Linked DNA regions of Saccharomyces cerevisiae S288C. Changing the gene in region 1 together with any one later gene gives a genetic interaction. Each region holds a gene or a part of one and is shown in the gene's direction. Other genes may lie near its edges. The genes, in order: YOR1, UBC8, HXK1 and AVO2.

Region 1 (8,249 bases):
AAGGGAAAAGAGGTGCGTTGCGCGTGTTTCTAGGGAGAAGATCCTATTGCAGCAGGGTGTCGCGCGAAAAGCGGTGCCTACAAATTACAAAACCCTCTGGGAAATGACCGTGCAGGGTCGTTTGTGGATGCATCTCGATTAGGCCGGGCTAGGCATCTTGATTCTTTCCCAAAATGGAGTTAACGAGCTCGATTGGGCGTTAATTGATGGATTTGGTTACACTGATACGAATTGAGCCCGTTTATCATTCATGCAGCGGCTTTATGGAGGGTGTGGAAGACGTTAGCGATGTTATGCTTTCCACTTGCTCTACTATCTTCCATCAAACCCACCTAATAAAGCTGAAGGTTTTGCAGGGGCAGAAGTCGTGGCGCAATAAGTTCAATAAATACTTATAATATTACTTACTAGTTTAATCATGTATGTAAAAACTCGTTGCGGTATGCTGTCGTACTGGCACACATTTTTTTTTTTCATTTTTATTTGCTTTTTTCTTTGGCACCGGGGAAGAATTTTTCCCCACTCTATATATCTTGCTGCGTGTGCAGACTGGCCAGCTGCTCACACAATGAAACGCAATGGAATGTTTAGTCGTTTGTTATCATAAAGATCTCATTCAGTGCCTTGGAGTCCATCAACGCGGCCCTCTTTTGTTTTATCCATTTGGAGCGCACCGATAGTCTTGTGTTTACCGCATCGGGGATATTGGATGCAGATTCACTAGATTTTAATTTTGACGTCTTTTTCGTTTCTTTGGTCTTTTCCGCCCTTTTTTCCTTCTTCAATCTCTTCTCTTCCTTTTTATGTTTCTTATGCTCCTTTTTGTCCTTCTTGTCTTTTTTCTTGTCTTTCTTATGCTTTTTGTGCTTCTTGTGCTTCTTTTTATCACTGTCTTTATCCTCTTTGTCGTCATCATCTTCATCTTCGCTATCGTCTCCTTCCCTCTTTCGTTTCTTCGCGTTGGAGTAATTTCTTAACTTGTGAGTCTTTGGATCCCACGTGCTTGCTAAAACTTCACCCTTCACAAAATGGATACCCCATTTTCCGTCAATAATCTTCTGCTTTCTCTGCGTGTCCAATTCCTCTGATATTTTGCTTTCCTTTCCGTTCAGCCTACCAAGAATTCGCTGGAAGACATCCAACCCTGCGCATTCACCATTATCAAACTCGTCTTTTTTGTCTTTACGTTTTAATTTAGCACCGAGCCCAACGTTGTCGTCCTTAATTGACACTTTGATATGCGAAGTGTTCGAATTCATGGGGGATAACCCCAGACCCATACCGGGTTTCCATCCAAACTTTTCTAGAAATTGGTGCCCGAATCTCGAGGTGTCGTTACTCCATGCCGTATTTCTGGGGTCTAAACCAAACCGCTGTTTGGTTCTTGTAGCTGCCAAACCCATTCTGCTTCTTTGTTTAATGGTGTAAGCTGCCTATATGTTACTATTGAGTACTCATCTCATCGCTTCTTTCAGAACAAAATTTTTCATATTTTTTTTTTTTCCTTTTCTTTTTTTTTTTTTCTTTGACTGTTACCCGGTTGTTTATATTTGTAGGAAAACAACAACGACAGAGAAAATATCCTTGCAGTGGCGGCTAATTTGTTAGTTGACTGATTGATCACCTTCACTTATTAAAGTAAAATCAGCATACAAGAGATCAGAAGGGAGAAAGAGAGTGGGCAAGGCTATAGTACTTTGAAGAAAGCATCTTTGAACCGACCAGTTCTCTTCACAAGCAAAATCTATATGACTAACCGCAAGGGGCAAAGGGTTGTGAGAGGGCCCGTCTTTCTCCCGCTATAGCCGTCACTGGTATCCCTCCTGGCTGCACAAATCCGATAGAAAGGGGAAGAAGGAAGTTTAGTGCCACCTTATAGCACGCAGTTACTGTTTACGCTAAGGAGAGGCATACTCAATTTTTATTAGTCGCCTTCTTTAGTTGCTGCGTTTTTATCCACGGTTCTCTACTAAATGCTTGCGATAAGCGCTTCTATTTTCCTCCCCACCGCGAGGCGGAAATGGCACATTTTTTTTCTTTTGCTTCTGTGCTTTTGTTGTAATTTTTGGCATGTGCTATTGTATGAAGATAACGCGTGGTTCCGTGGAAATAGCCGGAAATTTTGCCGGGAATATGACGGACATGATTTAACACCCGTGGAAATGAAAAAAGCCAAGGTAAGAAAGTGGCAATATTTTTCCTACAAATAGATCTGCTGTCCCTTAAATGATTACCATACATATATATATTTATTACACATCTGTCAGAGGTAGCTAGCGAAGGTGTCACTGAAATATTTTTTGTTCCAGTTAGTATAAATACGGAGGTAGAACAGCTCTCCGCGTGTATATCTTTTTTTGCGCTATACAAGAACAGGAAGAACGCATTTCCATACCTTTTTCTCCTTACAGGTGCCCTCTGAGTAGTGTCACGAACGAGGAAAAAGATTAATATTACTGTTTTTATATTCAAAAAGAGTAAAGCCGTTGCTATATACGAATATGACGATTACCGTGGGGGATGCAGTTTCGGAGACGGAGCTGGAAAACAAAAGTCAAAACGTGGTACTATCTCCCAAGGCATCTGCTTCTTCAGACATAAGCACAGATGTTGATAAGGACACATCGTCTTCTTGGGATGACAAATCTTTGCTGCCTACAGGTGAATATATTGTGGACAGAAATAAGCCCCAAACCTACTTGAATAGCGATGATATCGAAAAAGTGACAGAATCTGATATTTTCCCTCAGAAACGTCTGTTTTCATTCTTGCACTCTAAGAAAATTCCAGAAGTACCACAAACCGATGACGAGAGGAAGATATATCCTCTGTTCCATACAAATATTATCTCTAACATGTTTTTTTGGTGGGTTCTACCCATCCTGCGAGTTGGTTATAAGAGAACGATACAGCCGAACGATCTCTTCAAAATGGATCCGAGGATGTCTATAGAGACCCTTTATGACGACTTTGAAAAAAACATGATTTACTATTTTGAGAAGACGAGGAAAAAATACCGTAAAAGACATCCAGAAGCGACAGAAGAAGAGGTTATGGAAAATGCCAAACTACCTAAACATACAGTTCTGAGAGCTTTATTATTCACTTTTAAGAAACAGTACTTCATGTCGATAGTGTTTGCAATTCTCGCTAATTGTACATCCGGTTTTAACCCCATGATTACCAAGAGGCTAATTGAGTTTGTCGAAGAAAAGGCTATTTTTCATAGCATGCATGTTAACAAAGGTATTGGTTACGCTATTGGTGCATGTTTGATGATGTTCGTTAACGGGTTGACGTTCAACCATTTCTTTCATACATCCCAACTGACTGGTGTGCAAGCTAAGTCTATTCTTACTAAAGCTGCCATGAAGAAAATGTTTAATGCATCTAATTATGCGAGACATTGTTTTCCTAACGGTAAAGTGACTTCTTTTGTAACAACAGATCTCGCTAGAATTGAATTTGCCTTATCTTTTCAGCCGTTTTTGGCTGGGTTCCCTGCAATTTTGGCTATTTGCATTGTTTTATTGATCGTTAACCTTGGACCCATTGCCTTAGTTGGGATTGGTATTTTTTTCGGTGGGTTTTTCATATCCTTATTTGCATTTAAGTTAATTCTGGGCTTTAGAATTGCTGCGAACATCTTCACTGATGCTAGAGTTACCATGATGAGAGAAGTGCTGAATAATATAAAAATGATTAAATATTATACGTGGGAGGATGCGTATGAAAAAAATATTCAAGATATTAGGACCAAAGAGATTTCTAAAGTTAGAAAAATGCAACTATCAAGAAATTTCTTGATTGCTATGGCCATGTCTTTGCCTAGTATTGCTTCATTGGTCACTTTCCTTGCAATGTACAAAGTTAATAAAGGAGGCAGGCAACCTGGTAATATTTTTGCCTCTTTATCTTTATTTCAGGTCTTGAGTTTGCAAATGTTTTTCTTACCTATTGCTATTGGTACTGGAATTGACATGATCATTGGATTGGGCCGTTTGCAAAGCTTATTGGAGGCTCCAGAAGATGATCCAAATCAGATGATTGAAATGAAGCCTTCTCCTGGCTTTGATCCAAAATTGGCTTTAAAAATGACACATTGCTCATTTGAGTGGGAAGATTATGAATTAAACGACGCTATTGAAGAAGCAAAAGGAGAAGCTAAAGATGAAGGTAAAAAGAACAAAAAAAAGCGTAAGGATACATGGGGTAAGCCATCTGCAAGTACTAATAAGGCGAAAAGATTGGACAATATGTTGAAAGACAGAGACGGCCCGGAAGATTTAGAAAAAACTTCGTTTAGGGGTTTCAAGGACTTGAACTTCGATATTAAAAAGGGCGAATTTATTATGATTACGGGACCTATTGGTACTGGTAAATCTTCATTATTGAATGCGATGGCAGGATCAATGAGAAAAACTGATGGTAAGGTTGAAGTCAACGGGGACTTATTAATGTGTGGTTATCCATGGATTCAAAATGCATCTGTAAGAGATAACATCATATTCGGTTCACCATTCAATAAAGAAAAGTATGATGAAGTAGTTCGTGTTTGCTCTTTGAAAGCTGATCTGGATATTTTACCGGCAGGCGATATGACCGAAATTGGGGAACGTGGTATTACTTTATCTGGTGGTCAAAAGGCACGTATCAATTTAGCCAGGTCTGTTTATAAGAAGAAGGATATTTATCTATTCGACGATGTCCTAAGTGCTGTCGATTCTCGTGTTGGTAAACACATCATGGATGAATGTCTAACCGGAATGCTTGCTAATAAAACCAGAATTTTAGCAACGCATCAATTGTCACTGATTGAGAGAGCTTCTAGAGTCATCGTTTTAGGTACTGATGGCCAAGTCGATATTGGTACTGTTGATGAGCTAAAAGCTCGTAATCAAACTTTGATAAATCTTTTACAATTCTCTTCTCAAAATTCGGAGAAAGAGGATGAAGAACAGGAAGCGGTTGTTGCCGGTGAATTGGGACAACTAAAATATGAATCAGAGGTAAAGGAATTGACTGAACTGAAGAAAAAGGCTACAGAAATGTCACAAACTGCAAATAGTGGTAAAATTGTAGCGGATGGTCATACTAGTAGTAAAGAAGAAAGAGCAGTCAATAGTATCAGTCTGAAAATATACCGTGAATACATTAAAGCTGCAGTAGGTAAGTGGGGTTTTATCGCACTACCGTTGTATGCAATTTTAGTCGTTGGAACCACATTCTGCTCACTTTTTTCTTCCGTTTGGTTATCTTACTGGACTGAGAATAAATTCAAAAACAGACCACCCAGTTTTTATATGGGTCTTTACTCCTTCTTTGTGTTTGCTGCTTTCATATTCATGAATGGCCAGTTCACCATACTTTGCGCAATGGGTATTATGGCATCGAAATGGTTAAATTTGAGGGCTGTGAAAAGAATTTTACACACTCCAATGTCATACATAGATACCACACCTTTGGGACGTATTCTGAACAGATTCACAAAAGATACAGATAGCTTAGATAATGAGTTAACCGAAAGTTTACGGTTGATGACATCTCAATTTGCTAATATTGTAGGTGTTTGCGTCATGTGTATTGTTTACTTGCCGTGGTTTGCTATCGCAATTCCGTTTCTTTTGGTCATCTTTGTTCTGATTGCTGATCATTATCAGAGTTCTGGTAGAGAAATTAAAAGACTTGAAGCTGTGCAACGGTCTTTTGTTTACAATAATTTAAATGAAGTTTTGGGTGGGATGGATACAATCAAAGCATACCGAAGTCAGGAACGATTTTTGGCGAAATCAGATTTTTTGATCAACAAGATGAATGAGGCGGGATACCTTGTAGTTGTCCTGCAAAGATGGGTAGGTATTTTCCTTGATATGGTTGCTATCGCATTTGCACTAATTATTACGTTATTGTGTGTTACGAGAGCCTTTCCTATTTCCGCGGCTTCAGTTGGTGTTTTGTTGACTTATGTATTACAATTGCCTGGTCTATTAAATACCATTTTAAGGGCAATGACTCAAACAGAGAATGACATGAATAGTGCCGAAAGATTGGTAACATATGCAACTGAACTACCACTAGAGGCATCCTATAGAAAGCCCGAAATGACACCTCCAGAGTCATGGCCCTCAATGGGCGAAATAATTTTTGAAAATGTTGATTTTGCCTATAGACCTGGTTTACCTATAGTTTTAAAAAATCTTAACTTGAATATCAAGAGTGGGGAAAAAATTGGTATCTGTGGTCGTACAGGTGCTGGTAAGTCCACTATTATGAGTGCCCTTTACAGGTTGAATGAATTGACCGCAGGTAAAATTTTAATTGACAATGTTGATATAAGTCAGCTGGGACTTTTCGATTTAAGAAGAAAATTAGCCATCATTCCACAAGATCCAGTATTATTTAGGGGTACGATTCGCAAGAACTTAGATCCATTTAATGAGCGTACAGATGACGAATTATGGGATGCATTGGTGAGAGGTGGTGCTATCGCCAAGGATGACTTGCCGGAAGTGAAATTGCAAAAACCTGATGAAAATGGTACTCATGGTAAAATGCATAAGTTCCATTTAGATCAAGCAGTGGAAGAAGAGGGCTCCAATTTCTCCTTAGGTGAGAGACAACTATTAGCATTAACAAGGGCATTGGTCCGCCAATCAAAAATATTGATTTTGGATGAGGCTACATCCTCAGTGGACTACGAAACGGATGGCAAAATCCAAACACGTATTGTTGAGGAATTTGGAGATTGTACAATTTTGTGTATTGCTCACAGACTGAAGACCATTGTAAATTATGATCGTATTCTTGTTTTAGAGAAGGGTGAAGTCGCAGAATTCGATACACCATGGACGTTGTTTAGTCAAGAAGATAGTATTTTCAGAAGCATGTGTTCTAGATCTGGTATTGTGGAAAATGATTTCGAGAACAGAAGTTAATTTATATTATTTGTTGCATGATTTTTCTCTTTTATTTATTTATATGTTGCCGATGGTACAAATTAGTACTAGAAAAGAAAACCCACTACTATGACTTGCAGAAAAAGTTATGTGTGCCATAGATAGATATAATTGCATACCCACATTGTATACTCAAAATTCCGAAAAGAACATTTCATTTTTTATGAGGCAAACTGGACAACGCCTTCGGTCCTTTTTCATTCTAGAAATATATATTTATACATCATTTTCAGAAGATATTCAAAGAACTTATTGGGATGTCTGTTTACTGAATAAAGTATACACAAAATACGAATTTAAAATGGAAGGCATAAAATAGAAAACTTAGAAGTGAAAATCCTAAAACCGAAGGATATTTCAAATACGTAAAAGAAGTGAAAGATAAAATAAAGCCTAAATAAGGAAGAAAAGAAGGGATAACATTTTTTTTTGTTACTTTTTGCTTATTCCTCACCTAAACAGAAGGAAAAAGCCATTCTTGTTTAAAGAGTATTTTTAAAGCGTTCATGAAAAGTCACAGTCCAAGGAGTATTTCAAATTGTCACTTGAAGTGAAAACACCCCAGTGCTTCTCGACATCAGAGGTACCAGAGGTGTTTGGCTTCCAATCTTCATCAAAGGCTTCAAAAACAATAACGTTAACACCCCAAGCTCTCATGGAACAGATACCTTCTTTCCAGAATTGTTTGGCGTTGTCAACAGATGGGTAAGAACTTTCAAAGTTGGTACCATCAGTTGGCCAACCGGTCTCACCAACCCAGAAGGTAATATCGGTAGAACCTTTAGTAGATTGGATAACCTGTAGAGCTTGCATAATATCATCAAAGAATGAGTAAGAGGCATTTTGCATGGTTTGACCTTGCCAGTAGGAGAACGCGTTAGCCATAACAAAATCGGAAGCTTCGATAACGGCAGAATTGTAACCAGCAACCAAAACATTCCAGGAATCGACAGTACCGACTTGCTTACCAGAGTATGACTTTCCGTCAGAATCGGAAATGTCAGCAACGACACTACGGACGTCATTAATTTTGTCTGATAATTGAGAGGCAGTCAAATCGTTACGGTATAAGGCTTCAGAACCAACCAAGAAACCAGCAACAGTGGATTCTTTAATTTTTGGCAAATAGGTTTGCAAAGCAGCCTTTTCAGCAGCGTAATGACTGTCGTCTGTTGGCCAAACACCGACAAAGATAGTAAATCCCTCAGCTTCAGCAGCAGGACCTAAGTTTTGCAAAGTGTTACAATCTGAGGCAGCGTAAACTTTGACGGTGGAAGTGTAGCTCTTCAAAGC
Region 2 (4,432 bases), on another chromosome or scaffold:
GCTTTGCTTTCTGTTTTTTTTTGTTGACTCGCTGTTCAATCTCCTACTTTTCCTTTTGTTGTTAAAATAAGGTATTATATATTTATACAACCCTATAAAAAGCAATTAGCCAATTTCCAATCCTACGAAGACAGGAACTGAGCAAACTATAAGGGTGTTCTTTCTTCTGTACTATATATACATTTGCAACTATGGGTTCATGTTGTAGTTGCTTGAAAGATTCTTCAGACGAGGCCAGTGTCTCACCAATTGCCGATAATGAAAGAGAAGCGGTGACTTTATTACTAGGGTATTTGGAGGATAAAGACCAATTAGACTTTTACTCTGGTGGTCCACTAAAGGCCCTAACTACTTTGGTGTATTCAGATAATCTAAATTTGCAAAGGAGCGCCGCTCTGGCATTCGCAGAAATTACTGAAAAATACGTCCGTCAGGTCTCTAGAGAGGTACTGGAACCCATCTTAATATTATTACAAAGCCAAGATCCACAGATTCAAGTGGCCGCTTGTGCAGCCTTGGGTAATTTGGCCGTTAATAATGAAAATAAATTATTAATTGTGGAAATGGGAGGCTTAGAGCCATTAATAAACCAAATGATGGGTGACAATGTAGAAGTTCAATGTAATGCTGTTGGATGCATTACCAATTTAGCCACAAGGGATGACAATAAACATAAGATTGCTACTTCTGGTGCTTTAATTCCATTGACTAAGCTAGCTAAATCCAAACATATAAGAGTTCAGAGAAATGCTACAGGTGCATTATTAAATATGACACATTCTGAGGAAAATAGAAAAGAATTGGTTAATGCAGGTGCTGTGCCTGTATTGGTATCTTTACTGTCGTCCACCGATCCTGATGTTCAGTACTATTGTACTACTGCTTTATCAAATATAGCAGTGGATGAAGCCAATCGCAAGAAGTTGGCTCAAACTGAGCCAAGATTGGTTTCCAAATTGGTTAGTCTGATGGATTCTCCATCTTCAAGGGTAAAATGTCAAGCTACTTTGGCTTTACGAAACCTAGCGTCCGATACAAGCTACCAATTAGAAATTGTAAGGGCTGGTGGGTTGCCTCATTTGGTAAAGTTGATTCAAAGTGATTCTATACCACTGGTTTTGGCTAGTGTGGCATGCATTAGAAACATTTCTATTCACCCTCTAAATGAAGGTTTAATTGTTGATGCAGGTTTCTTAAAACCATTAGTAAGATTGTTGGACTATAAGGATTCAGAAGAAATTCAATGTCACGCCGTATCTACTTTGAGAAATTTGGCTGCATCATCTGAAAAAAACAGAAAAGAGTTCTTCGAAAGTGGTGCTGTCGAAAAATGTAAGGAACTGGCTCTAGATTCACCTGTTAGTGTTCAAAGTGAAATTTCCGCATGTTTTGCTATTTTAGCCCTAGCAGATGTCTCCAAATTGGATCTACTGGAAGCAAATATCTTAGATGCTTTAATCCCTATGACTTTTTCCCAGAACCAAGAAGTTTCTGGTAATGCTGCTGCTGCTTTGGCAAATCTATGTTCAAGAGTGAATAATTATACAAAAATTATTGAAGCATGGGATCGTCCGAATGAAGGCATTCGTGGATTTCTGATTAGATTTTTGAAAAGTGACTATGCTACCTTTGAACACATTGCGCTATGGACAATTTTACAATTGCTAGAAAGTCATAATGATAAAGTGGAAGATTTGGTTAAAAATGATGACGACATCATTAACGGAGTGAGAAAAATGGCAGATGTGACCTTTGAGCGTTTACAAAGATCAGGAATTGATGTTAAAAATCCGGGGAGCAACAACAATCCAAGCTCGAATGATAACAACAGTAATAACAATGACACAGGATCTGAACATCAACCTGTAGAGGATGCAAGTTTGGAATTGTATAATATTACTCAACAGATTTTACAATTTTTACATTGATTTTCTTCAAAAGCGGGACTAGGCATTATAATTTTTATCAAAATTTTCTTCTCAGAAGTTTTATTTTCTTTCTCTCCATTTCTTCCATCTTTTTAATCTTTGTTTCCTTTTTTTACATCATATTACTTCTACCTACTCTACTCTATTCTAATTTCAATTGATTTTTTTTATTTTATTTTTTTTTTTGTTAATAAAAGAAGAAAAAACTTAAAAACGAATAAGAGGCTGTCTTTGTTCCGTAGTATATGCCTATTTCCTTCTAGAAGTTTGAAGTGTCGTAAATTTTACCTACGGATAATGTTCGTTACATTGTTGAATGGCAACTGTAGTGAGGTAATGTTCAAAAAGTGAGAAAGCGGGAGAGAAGGGCTACATACAAAAACCAATTCTAGATAACATCTATATCTTCGTTTTTAGAATATATTGTAATAAAACACAATTGATAATACAGTTCTCTCTTCGTCCTCTGATGGTGGGAGATCTATTAAAAATACAAGTTAGCTGAGCGGGGGAAAAAAATAGGTCTTACCCGGATTCGAACCGGGGTTGTTCGGATCAAAACCGAAAGTGATAACCACTACACTATAAAACCTCTTAATTATTGATTTCCACAATAATTTTATCATATATCAACACTATTCTTCACATAGTTTTTTTAATCCCGGTGTCTCTCATCTGCTAATGAAAATACGTTCACTCATATTTCATGCACCTTCCAGTAGACTGACCCTTCATAAGGTTAAGAATATCATGGGGAAATTATCGCAATGCATGTCTCTTAAAGAATACAAGAATATATAAAGGCGAATCAACGATTCTTCACGATAATTTGTTTTCCTCTTAATCACACAGCAGTCTGAATTCTATCAGTGGCACATTAATCCTTGTTTCAATGCTCGTGTGCACATCTGCGTAAATATACATTCTTACGTTTTCTTATTTAATAATAGTAGGTTGAGCTTCGTCCACCGGGTAATGCTCCCGGAGCAGTGGAATTAAAAAAAAAAAGGGTGAGCACCGGAAACAGCTATCTGCGCTTAAGTATCACTAACGTAAAGCATAGGTAGGATTTCCAGTTCTGCCACATTTGATAAATAGTGTAATCCGTAATTATCAAGCGAGATAGTTTTCGAATATAATTTAGAAGTAAGAGCAAAATATTAATAGTATTTCATAAGGAATATTGGAAGAAAGGAGCGTAATACGAAAGATGAGGTATGTTTGATAAGATATATACGTATATTTATATATCACTCTTCTGAGAAAGTATGCCATAGAATGAGGATCACTAACAAAGAAAATGTCAATGAACTTCAAAGATATCGTTTAATGAAACAGTAGCTCTAAAAGAAGGATCGAGACAGATGTTATGAAACTGTTGATGAGTGATCATCAAGTGGATTTAATCAATGATAGCATGCAAGAGTTTCATGTAAAGTTCTTGGGACCAAAGGATACACCCTACGAAAATGGGGTTTGGAGGTTACATGTAGAGTTGCCGGATAATTACCCATACAAGTCGCCAAGCATAGGGTTCGTTAACAAGATATTCCATCCTAACATTGATATCGCATCGGGGTCCATATGTTTGGACGTAATTAACTCTACATGGTCGCCTTTATATGATCTGATAAATATAGTGGAGTGGATGATACCAGGTTTATTAAAGGAGCCTAATGGTAGCGATCCCTTGAATAACGAAGCTGCCACATTGCAATTACGAGATAAAAAACTGTATGAGGAAAAAATCAAAGAGTATATAGACAAGTATGCTACAAAGGAAAAGTACCAACAAATGTTTGGCGGAGATAATGATAGCGATGACAGTGATAGCGGCGGTGATTTACAAGAAGAGGACAGTGATTCTGATGAAGATATGGATGGCACTGGTGTTTCCAGTGGCGATGATAGCGTAGATGAGTTAAGCGAGGATCTAAGTGACATAGATGTCAGTGATGACGATGACTACGACGAAGTCGCAAATCAATAATTTCGAGCACACACATATATATATATATATATATATGTATGTATGTATAAGTATATATGATGGCATACTATACCACACGTACGACTATAATTACAAACAACTATCAAGCAACTACAAGGATCTCTGTGGGCTAGTGGCCTGCGGGCTCAATTTTGCTCTTGTTCCTGAACGGTGAATTCTGTAGTCTGTCATCCAGGGGAAGGGCAGGGCACTCATCAACAATGTGATAGTCAGAAAGCAATAATGTTTTGTATTCTGATGAGCTTTCACTATCTCTTCCGCAATACCCCTTTTTGCCTATATTACGGCATCATCTTTCCCCGCGTTCTCGTGGGGGCCAAATAAGCTTTGTCCAAGGGGCTGTTGCAACGGTAAAGGTAGTCGAGCCAAGTGACACCAGCAAACAAGGAAACAAGGAAGCAAGGAAGGCTTTCCATTTTCCAATAACGACATGAGTCTATCTATGGTGTATAAAAGTGGCAGGCTTTTCCTACATTTTTTTTCCCTGATAACT
Region 3 (5,621 bases), on another chromosome or scaffold:
GATTAGTCAATCCATAAAATACATATTTTCTGTTTCATCTGGAAATAATACACAATTGACCAGTAAGGAAGCACTAAATACATTTTTTGATTCCTCAGCTAGCACAAAACTTACAATTCAAATACTTATAAGCCATCTTTACATCGATTGTATAGTGAAAGGGCAACTAGAACTCCATTTTGTGAGCTTCTCGATGATGAGCTTTTCAGACAGCAGCAAATCTAAAGGCCATTAACTAAATCAAGTTTCAGTGCCACTATCCTCACTTTGAGCTCTAAAATTGCATTTAGAGGACACTTCCTTATCTCGTTCTCGATTCAAAGGCCTTCTGAAAACTTCAGTAATGTCTGTATGCAAACAAGTAACCTGACTCCAACACTTCTGGATTTTAGCACTGCAGCCCAAAACAGTGCACCCAAGGAAACTTTAAATTCTATTTAATTTTCGGATGCGTTTAGTCAATTTTCTACTAATACCGCCACTCCTAATATAAGTGGTTCTTCCAGTCAAATTTTCAATCATGCTTCTCCCAATCTTGTAAGTAATGTTATCGTACAATGGAAAAGTGCATCAGTCCGTCTATCGTCATTCACATTCACACCAGCATTTTCTAGCGGTGTTAGTACTGTAACATTACGATAACGTCACTCAATATTTATTGAACACATTAGATGCAGAATACTTTACCCGTGGTTCATCTAGCTTCTTCGAAAGCGACAGTAGCAAATCTGAACCTCAATCCACGGGCGTTTTAGTTGCTTCTAGCCAATTCTCAAATGATTCCTTCATAACCTATTTGGACCAGGTATTCACTAGTACCACAACTCCAGTCAGTGCTTTTAGTAAATTTTCGCATACCCCCACTATTGGTACCTCAACTACTGTAGCTAGTAAAACTTCTGATATATTCAATTCATCATCTCTCAGCATTGTTAGAACGGTTGCGCACAAATAGCAGTACTCAACATGTATCTAGCACATTAGCCACAGAATACTTAGCCGCTGATTCATCTATTTTGTTCGAAAGTAAAGATAGCAGGTTTGCATTACAACCAACTTACACAAATCACAAGTATTTTTGGCGATCCCTCAAGCGATTCCCGCCTAATCCGTTCTAATTGGATCTCGACTAATATCACAACTTTAGCAAGCTCCATCAGCAAAATTGCACATATCATTGCAACCAAATCTTTGATTGATTCACCGACCAGCATTCAAACGGACACTGTTATTGTAGTATTTATTAGCTCAAGGGCTGTCACCCCTATAAACTCTAACATTATTTCTGGCCCATTCTTGAGTACTTATTTCCTCTTCTCAGGATACAAGATCTTGTACATTAGTTCCCTTTGTCTTATCCGACTTGTTCGCAATTCTTTAGGCTCAATGGCTAGCTCTAGCCAATTGTCTGCTCAACCTGCTTATACTACCTTAAACGATTTTACTCCGGCCAATCCTCCTGTGCAATTGTCAGACAGTTTGATTCTGTCAGTCATATTCTGACCTACAATTTGACGCTTTCGCCTTTTAACTCATTGAGCAAAAATAATACCGTCATTACAACACATCCAACAATCGAAAAACTGGCTAGTTCGACCACTAAAATGCTAAGGCATAGTTCTAGAGTGCTTCCCGGGTTTCGGATAAATCAATATATTAACAAAGCGAGCCACTTCACCGTCCTCTTTTGAACCCAAAGCTTCTAATATATTCTTCACTTTAACTACTTTCATGACTATATATAAAGAATGGACAATCGCTTTCACAAGCACATATTTCACCAAGTATCTACACTAAATGTCAACAACGTTAGGATGGTGGAAGAGCAATTAATGATTTTAGTACCCTGGTGTCCATTCTCCAGACCTGGCGCCGTGGATAAAACTACGAAGACGTTTGTGGCATCTTCGTTGTTGGACATCCATACATAAGTCGCTTCTGCTACTGTTAAACATACTTCTGTGCCCATAGCGGATAATAATATATATACAAGGAATATCATCGGGCGTCTAAGTTTTGGCATTGAATTAGTGTTTGGTCTAACTAGAGGTACTGATGTAGCCGTCACACCAGGATTTACCAAAATCGTAATCTCTACCAACAGCACCAGTGCAACTCCGCAGAACACTACAGCCGGGACCAAAACACATGAAAGCGGTTCGCTTCCAGCACCAAAAGCTACATCACCTATTCCCGGAGTTATTCTTTGAGCGCACTTCTTTTTAATAGTACTACTTTCCGGCCATTGAATTATGCCGAGAGCTGACAATTTAGTATATTACTGTATATCTAGTTCATTCTTCAAAATAAAGAATGCATAACCATTTTTTTATGTTTTTTCCGGAATTGGCTAAATTCACAAAAAAAAAGAGCATAAAGCGAATTGAATTGTCTCGCCAAGAAAACGCACTGAGAGGACGATTGATCCTCCAGACAAGATCGGAATTTTTACTTTTCTGTTTTTAACAATCACTCATGTGCATTGCACCTTACACATGGCGTTCCAAAGGCTTACCTGGTGTGTTTTCTTCCATGCGCGATTCCGTGCTCACCGCGGCTTCGCCTATATTCTACCTGTACTCTACACGTTTATTGTTAAACAACCCCGGAATATCTTCCATGCCAGTTGTTTCAGGAACAAAGCCCGTGTTGCAAAAAAAGAATGGCGTGGGGTGGGGTGATTATCTAGACCATGGGATGCAACTAGGAAAGTTAAAACTCACCTAGCAAACTGCTGTAATTTCCGCTTCAGAAAACAAGCTCGACTTTTACCCCACGAAGCCTAACCATCGAAAGTAAGACAAAAATTAGCAACCGAAACAGACGGTTAGAATTTTTCTTCGCTGCAGTAAAAGCATTGGCGCCCAGTATTCTCCTTGCACCTGGTCTTACCTCGAACTTTTCTTTTTACATCTTTTTCATTTTTTTACTTTTACCCCGCATCCTGCAAACCCCGGAAATTTTATTAGGAATAATTTATTTCCCGGTTGGAAATAAACCGGAAAAATGAAGATTTAGACGCTTTTAAGGAGTACGTGTTCCTGTCGTTTATCCACTAAGTATACTGGTTGCCCCTGGCCAGATCTCAGTATAGCAGTGACGCGTGGGTTTCAGGAAGAATGGCAGTCCCCTTTTGTTTTTCCGCATTGTGTGAGCTTCTTATGCCCCTGAACCCCACTATTCTGCCCCTTTGAAACTCCCGCACGTGTGCCCCGTTTGTTGGAAGATAGCGAAATACCTTACTGGAGCAACCAGGAAAAATACTCTGGTTGCAAAAACCAACAAAAGAAAAAATGGAAGACCTAAGAACTATGCATTTTTTTTTAAGGGGTTGATGAAAAGAAAAAGTTTCTTTCTCCCCCCGGATTTTGGTACCTTAGGACCGTTGAGAGGAATAGTAACAAGTGAACGCAACAAAGATTGTTCTCAACTGCTTCTGTTTCCTCCTTTTCTTTAAAGAGGAATATTTCGTATATAAGCAATCGGTTTCACTTCCTTGGGAATATTCTACCGTTCCTTCATCTTGTATTCTTCTCTTTCTCTTAGCGCAATATATAGCAGAAGAGCAATAAGAAACAATTGTGGCTTGCAATACTCAATTAGAATTCTTTTCTTTTAATCAAACTCACCCAAACAACTCAATTAGAATACTGAAAAAATAAGATGGTTCATTTAGGTCCAAAGAAACCACAGGCTAGAAAGGGTTCCATGGCTGATGTGCCCAAGGAATTGATGGATGAAATTCATCAGTTGGAAGATATGTTTACAGTTGACAGCGAGACCTTGAGAAAGGTTGTTAAGCACTTTATCGACGAATTGAATAAAGGTTTGACAAAGAAGGGAGGTAACATTCCAATGATTCCCGGTTGGGTCATGGAATTCCCAACAGGTAAAGAATCTGGTAACTATTTGGCCATTGATTTGGGTGGTACTAACTTAAGAGTCGTGTTGGTCAAGTTGAGCGGTAACCATACCTTTGACACCACTCAATCCAAGTATAAACTACCACATGACATGAGAACCACTAAGCACCAAGAGGAGTTATGGTCCTTTATTGCCGACTCTTTGAAGGACTTTATGGTCGAGCAAGAATTGCTAAACACCAAGGACACCTTACCATTAGGTTTCACCTTCTCGTACCCAGCTTCCCAAAACAAGATTAACGAAGGTATTTTGCAAAGATGGACCAAGGGTTTCGATATTCCAAATGTCGAAGGCCACGATGTCGTCCCATTGCTACAAAACGAAATTTCCAAGAGAGAGTTGCCTATTGAAATTGTAGCATTGATTAATGATACTGTTGGTACTTTAATTGCCTCATACTACACTGACCCAGAGACTAAGATGGGTGTGATTTTCGGTACTGGTGTCAACGGTGCTTTCTATGATGTTGTTTCCGATATCGAAAAGTTGGAGGGCAAATTAGCAGACGATATTCCAAGTAACTCTCCAATGGCTATCAATTGTGAATATGGTTCCTTCGATAATGAACATTTGGTCTTGCCAAGAACCAAGTACGATGTTGCTGTCGACGAACAATCTCCAAGACCTGGTCAACAAGCTTTTGAAAAGATGACCTCCGGTTACTACTTGGGTGAATTGTTGCGTCTAGTGTTACTTGAATTAAACGAGAAGGGCTTGATGTTGAAGGATCAAGATCTAAGCAAGTTGAAACAACCATACATCATGGATACCTCCTACCCAGCAAGAATCGAGGATGATCCATTTGAAAACTTGGAAGATACTGATGACATCTTCCAAAAGGACTTTGGTGTCAAGACCACTCTGCCAGAACGTAAGTTGATTAGAAGACTTTGTGAATTGATCGGTACCAGAGCTGCTAGATTAGCTGTTTGTGGTATTGCCGCTATTTGCCAAAAGAGAGGTTACAAGACTGGTCACATTGCCGCTGACGGTTCTGTCTATAACAAATACCCAGGTTTCAAGGAAGCCGCCGCTAAGGGTTTGAGAGATATCTATGGATGGACTGGTGACGCAAGCAAAGATCCAATTACGATTGTTCCAGCTGAGGATGGTTCAGGTGCAGGTGCTGCTGTTATTGCTGCATTGTCCGAAAAAAGAATTGCCGAAGGTAAGTCTCTTGGTATCATTGGCGCTTAATGAAAAAAATGTAATGAAATATAAATGTGTTTTTCCCTCCCTTAATATTATTATTCTTATGAGTGATGCCCTTATGTTTTTTTTGCGGTCTAGTATATGTAAATATAGACACACACATATATATATATTTATGTGTATAATCCTAGCTAATAAACATTTTTAGATTGTTATTAGTATAATTTTTTCCACTTACTTTGTTCTCCGGGAGAGAAAAAGTTGTTTATTTTGTAGTAATTTTGTGCACATATTATATATACAAATATTACACAATATTTTCAATACTTATGGCATAATCCATTGCTTTTTCGATAATGTTTGTCTTTTGGTCTTCTTCATGCATCATTTCATCTTCGTAATCAGCTTTCTCCTTTGATTGGTTATTGAAGTAAACTTTCGAGTTGACAATAGGCCAGTTTCTCTCTAGTGCAAATTTTTCAGTTTCTTTTTCGTTGTTGAAAAAGAGCAAAGCCTTTATGTTGGAGAGAGGGAGAAAGTCGTAG
Region 4 (5,344 bases), on another chromosome or scaffold:
CATGATTATATCAGCATTGTTGATTTCCATCTTTATAAGAGAAATATTCCCATGGCGGCTCAACTTATCAGCAAGTACATGGAAATACCTGGAACGACACAAGAAGATGCCGCATTTCTACTTGTTAAAACCAAGCTAAATATGTTGAAAGATTTTGAAAAGCTACGAAACATTTTTGCTCAAAATAAAGATTATGTAGTGCCTGAGAATAATGTGAAAATGTTGCAAGAGGCATTTGAGAGCGTTATTACTAAGTATAACACTAATTCTCCAATATACAATGAATTGCTGTTTGAGAATGTTTCGGCCTTAACAAAAAGTATTGTATTAACTGATTTTCTGGAAGAGTTCATTACTAAACAGGCTTCTGGACAGTGGATGGAATTAAACAGTGTGTCACGTTCCAGAAAGTTTAATGGCTTGTTGAACATACTTCTCGGTACAGGTGAAGAAGAAAAAGCATATAATATCTTAAAAAAACTAGAAGAAGCCTCAAAGAAATCAAAAACAGATCCAGATTTACTCTATAATCAGTTTTATTCGGAAGTTAATGCATATCATTACGCTAAATTTGTTGAATTTTATAGTCTTCAAATTCAAAATATGAAGGCACAAAATACGCCCTCATTTAGAAAAAAGGAATTTAAGCAGAAAGTGAAGTCACTTTTAAAAAGAATGCAGGAGTCAGAGGTTATCCCAAATGCTGTTTTTTTGAGAGAAATACTCAATTTTTATGATAGCATGTATGACTTTAATTCAAGTTTTGAGATCATCAATCCGCTACTTGAATCCAAACAACAGGTGAGCTCTGAGTCTTCATTATCCACCTCAAACCCTTGCCGATTTTACAACCGTCGCATCATAACAAAACCGCTGTACCACAAGATTTGGTCTGTGTATTGCCATTATTATCATGTTTTACAAAATAATTCTAGGATTTTATCGAAAAAGTCGTCCATTGTAAAGAAATTAATAAAAAGGCAGATAAAGATTCACCCAACTTGTCACCCAAGAGTATTGTTCCAAATGACGGCAGAAAATGGTGAAATTTTGCCAGACAAAACTTTTTCTAAATTAATTGTGTCCACGTTCATGAAAAGCGGGGATTTAGAAGCAATACCTGCCATATTAACGTTTCTAACGAAAAAATTTGACTTGAATATTGATTACGATTTGAGTATGTATATTCTAAAGGGTTTGAAAAGACAATATTTACGAGATATTAGTAACATCAGTAAAGATGCTTGTGAGTACAAGTTACGGAAGGCGGAGCTAATGAATAATGAGTCAATCTTAAAAAACATTCCACAGGGTACAAATCAAGAGAATACAATATCCCATTTGATCAGGGAGATTTTGATCTTTATAAAATGGAAGGAAAAAAGTGATTGTTCTACTTTCTTGATGGTAGAAGATGCTTTTAAAGAATTAGGAACAGAGTTTACTTTACTCGAAGAATTAATAGAAGATGTAAATAAGTTAAAGATAAAAGCCTAAAAAAACGGATGCATTTTATATAATTTTAGCTATACGTGTACATATTTGTAATAAAGTTAAAAGAGGAGACTGTTTAGCTTTGTATTTATTTTTTACTTAATTTCATCCATTTAGGTACTCTATTTAAAGTCTTTTTGATACTTGTAGCGTTATCAGAAGGGCCCTGTGGATTGGATTTATTTATCGTATTAACTGATGGGGTTGTCCTCGTTTCGTGTGTGATTTTTTGTGCGTCTTCCAAAAGATGAGCCTTTATTAATGGGCCATTAGAATTTGAATTTGTTTCAAAAAGCAGCATTGTTTTAGAGCCAAATTCCAGGTCATCCAGTAGCTTCTTATCGTCTTTAGCCAAGGGTTTGAAAGGATGAGATTGGTTTAACGTAAAAGGCATGTTCTCATCGATCAGGAACTGCGACACGACGTTATAAACTGTACGCATGTCTTCATTGGGTTTGAATGCTATTTGAATATGGCTTCTATCGGGGAACTTGACTCTCAGCAAACACTCAGATATAGCCTTATTTTTCTTTGGCAAGTTGTTGGCTGATTGCTCTCTAAGTCTCTTTGTCAAAATAGGACCACCCAAAGTACCAGCCTTCGATGATAACATTTTTTGGTATTTCTTGGCTTGTTCTACTGTCAATTCATAATCTTCTTCATCCTCGATTTGATCCTTGATAACTGCTAATGGCTCATCCGAGGGCAAAAACACAGAAGGTTTATGTAGTTCGTGAGGTGGTAGTGAAGCAACCGTTTCCGGGTTCGTCATCGTAGGGGGAGTTTGTTTTGGGTGAATAGCGCTATTAGCGCTAATGCCCTCAGAATGAGATGTATTATTAAAAATCAATCTAACTGACGAAGGCTCCTGAATCCCTAAATTTTCGAGAGTCAAATTCTCATCCTTAATTGTTTTGAACTCTATTATCTTGGAAAAGACCTGGATCTTAAAATCATCTCCCGCAGCGCCGCTCATCTGTCGCAAGATAGGGGCAATTGGTTGGTCAGATGGCATTTCTTTAACCACGGAATCTCTTCCTGGGATTTGAAACCGTATTTTGATCGTATTGAATGGAATATCTTCGCGGTTGGTCTTATTCGCCACCGGAAAATTACTACTTTTAGATAATTCTAAGTTGACACCCGTTGGTAAGTTTAGAAGCCTCCATGGCAAATCTAATGGCACCGGTTTATCCAAATGTATCAATGACCAGTCGTTTGACGAGGTGTGCAGTTGAAAGAATTGTATGGATTGGTGTAACACATCGTTTAGTGTTGAATTCAACGAAACTTTACATTTGAAAAGTTGGAAGTTATACTTCACGGTAACCATAGGCATTGTATTGTGCGCTTATTAGTCTGCCTTGCTATTCTTCGCAGTACGTAGATTTATCTTAGTTTTTGCATTTTTTGGTTTTCTTTTTTTTTTGCCACACATAGTACAATAAAAGAGAACTTGAATCTTTGAAGAAACGTCTAAATTAACATCGAAGATAGAAGACAGGGAAACATCTAGGATTGCAAGAAATAGTGCTGAAATTTTGTAATAAAGTTGCAAGAAATAGCATCTAGCGTTTTATAAGGCGTACATCTTTCTTGGCAAGAGTTCCAAGAGAAAAGAGGAGCAAAACAGCGGTTGAGGCGCCCGCTATCTTGAATATTATACAGTTTCTTTAAAAACGCTTGTACAACACTGCATAAACATGGACAAATTATTGAAATTGTTTCAAGATATTTCCCATATCATATTCCAATAGCGTTACTCTCTCATCGCTTATTCTGGAATCATTATTTTAATAAAGATAACTCACACGATATACGTGTACTGAGCTGACCTTTATACCTACCCTTACCTGCTTATTCCTGATAAAAATGTTCGTGCAACTAATTGTTTGATTTCTCTTGCGGCCCGGTTATTCCGGAGTTGATACTTTTTTTCTTCTGTCTTAATTACGTTTTTTTCCTCTAGACTTTTTTGATCTGGTACAATTGAAAATGTATAAATCAACTGGACCCTAAAAATAAAAAAAAAAAACGCCCATTAGAAAAGAGGATATATTGAACAAAAGATGTTGAAAGAGCCCTCAGTTCGCTTGCGGGAGGCTATTATTGAAGGCAATTTACTTATAGTGAAAAGATTATTGCGACGGAATCCGGATTTGCTAACCAACATAGACTCAGAGAACGGATGGAGTTCATTACATTACGCCTCATACCATGGAAGATACCTTATATGCGTGTATTTAATTCAGCTGGGGCACGACAAGCATGAACTAATAAAAACCTTTAAAGGAAACACCTGTGTGCATTTAGCATTAATGAAAGGGCACGAGCAAACCTTACATTTACTTTTGCAACAATTTCCGCGATTTATCAACCATCGCGGAGAGAATGGTAGAGCCCCCATCCATATAGCATGTATGAACGATTACTACCAATGTCTGAGTCTGTTGATAGGAGTTGGTGCTGATTTATGGGTAATGGACACTAATGGCGACACGCCGCTGCATGTATGCCTGGAGTATGGCAGTATAAGTTGTATGAAGATGCTTCTCAATGAAGGTGAGGTGTCCTTGGATGATAATGTCAGGGACAAGGGAAATTGGAAGCCAATAGATGTAGCACAAACGTTTGAAGTAGGTAATATATATTCAAAAGTGTTAAAAGAGGTGAAAAAGAAGGGGCCACCGTTGGGTGCAGGCAAAAAACCAAGTTCATTCAGAACTCCTATACTAAATGCGAAGGCCACTTTCGAGGACGGGCCTTCCCCAGTTTTAAGCATGAATTCGCCATATTCGCTCTATTCCAATAATAGTCCGTTGCCGGTATTACCAAGAAGGATATCAACGCATACAACAAGCGGTAACGGTGGGAATCGGAGGAGTTCTATCACAAATCCAGTATTCAACCCACGAAAACCAACCTTGTCTACGGACAGTTTTTCGTCAAGCTCAAATTCCAGCTCGAGACTAAGAGTGAACTCCATCAACGTCAAGACTCCAGTAGGTGTGTCGCCCAAGAAAGAGCTTGTATCTGAATCAGTACGACACAGTGCAACACCAACAAGTCCGCACAACAACATCGCGTTGATTAATAGATACTTGTTGCCTAACAAGAGCAATGACAACGTGAGAGGAGACTCACAGACAGCTACAATCAACGATGACGGTGGCGGCGGCAATGGCGGTGATGCCACTATAGGAATGGGACTAAGAAAGGACCCGGACGATGAGAACGAGAACAAGTACAAGATTAAGGTAAACAATGGCGAGCCGAGGAGACGAGTGTCACTTCTGAACATACCCATCTCAAAATTAAGAAATAGCAATAACACGCGTGCAGAAGATTGAGAAGACTACTACGTATTTTTTTTTATATGCATCCTTTTTTCCACATATGTATGCGCGGTGCGCGCGCGCCATTAAAAGATTTTTTTCTTAGCTCTTTTTCTTTTTTCTTTTTCTTTCCACTGAGATGCGTTCTTCGGTATATAGTGAGAACACTTACAACTGTATACGAACATCGAAGGAGCACCTAACAGAAAGAAGGAGGGTCGCCATGGCGCCAATGTTCCAACATTTCTTAAACTTATGCGTGGAAAAATTTCCTGAATCCATCGAGCACAAGGATACAGATGGAAACGGTAACTTCACCACCGCTATTTTAGAAAGGGAGATTATCTACATCCCCGAAGATGACACTGACAGTATTGACAGCGTTGACAGCCTCAAGTGTATAAACTACAAGCTGCACAAATCTCGCGGCGACCAAGTGCTGGACGCCTGTGTGCAATTGATAGACAAGCACCTGGGCGCCAAGTATCGCCGGGCCTCGCGCATTATGTACGGCA

What was found.
Region 2: mutations in YOR1 (region 1) and UBC8 together harm fitness more than expected from each alone (negative genetic interaction), as found in Saccharomyces cerevisiae (2 studies listed by BioGRID).
Region 3: mutations in YOR1 (region 1) and HXK1 together harm fitness more than expected from each alone (negative genetic interaction), as found in Saccharomyces cerevisiae (2 studies listed by BioGRID).
Region 4: mutations in YOR1 (region 1) and AVO2 together harm fitness more than expected from each alone (negative genetic interaction), as found in Saccharomyces cerevisiae (2 studies listed by BioGRID).

What each region holds. Positions count from the first base shown.
Region 1 is NC_001139.9:1,050,323-1,058,571, forward strand, and holds YOR1 (ATP-binding cassette transporter YOR1), read left to right. Parts: upstream 1-2,501; coding exon 2,502-6,935; downstream 6,936-8,249. Other genes in the region: PXR1 (telomerase inhibitor), read right to left, coding at 588-1,403; BGL2 (glucan 1,3-beta-glucosidase), read right to left, coding at 7,461-8,249. UniProt on the Saccharomyces cerevisiae protein: Functions as a pleiotropic drug pump at the plasma membrane to clear toxic substances from the cytosol. Organic anion transporter involved in the detoxification of a wide range of toxic environmental organic anions that contain carboxyl groups.
Region 2 is NC_001137.3:128,634-133,065, forward strand, and holds UBC8 (E2 ubiquitin-conjugating protein UBC8), read left to right. Parts: upstream 1-3,138; coding exon 3,139-3,143; intron 3,144-3,266; coding exon 3,267-3,918; downstream 3,919-4,432. Other genes in the region: protein anchor VAC8, read left to right, coding at 192-1,928. UniProt on the Saccharomyces cerevisiae protein: Catalyzes the covalent attachment of ubiquitin to other proteins. Required for the adaptation to the presence of glucose in the growth medium; mediates the degradation of enzymes involved in gluconeogenesis when cells are shifted to glucose-containing medium.
Region 3 is NC_001138.5:253,092-258,712, reverse strand, and holds HXK1 (hexokinase 1), read left to right. Parts: upstream 1-3,663; coding exon 3,664-5,121; downstream 5,122-5,621. Other genes in the region: proteasome regulatory particle lid subunit RPN12, read right to left, coding at 5,384-5,621. UniProt on the Saccharomyces cerevisiae protein: Catalyzes the phosphorylation of hexose, such as D-glucose and D-fructose, to hexose 6-phosphate (D-glucose 6-phosphate and D-fructose 6-phosphate, respectively).
Region 4 is NC_001145.3:402,741-408,084, forward strand, and holds AVO2 (Avo2p), read left to right. Parts: upstream 1-3,563; coding exon 3,564-4,844; downstream 4,845-5,344. Other genes in the region: SOV1 (Sov1p), read left to right, coding at 1-1,497; UBX4 (Ubx4p), read right to left, coding at 1,583-2,833; NAT4 (N-terminal L-serine N(alpha)-acetyltransferase NatD), read left to right, coding at 4,969-5,344. UniProt on the Saccharomyces cerevisiae protein: Component of TORC2, which regulates cell cycle-dependent polarization of the actin-cytoskeleton and cell wall integrity.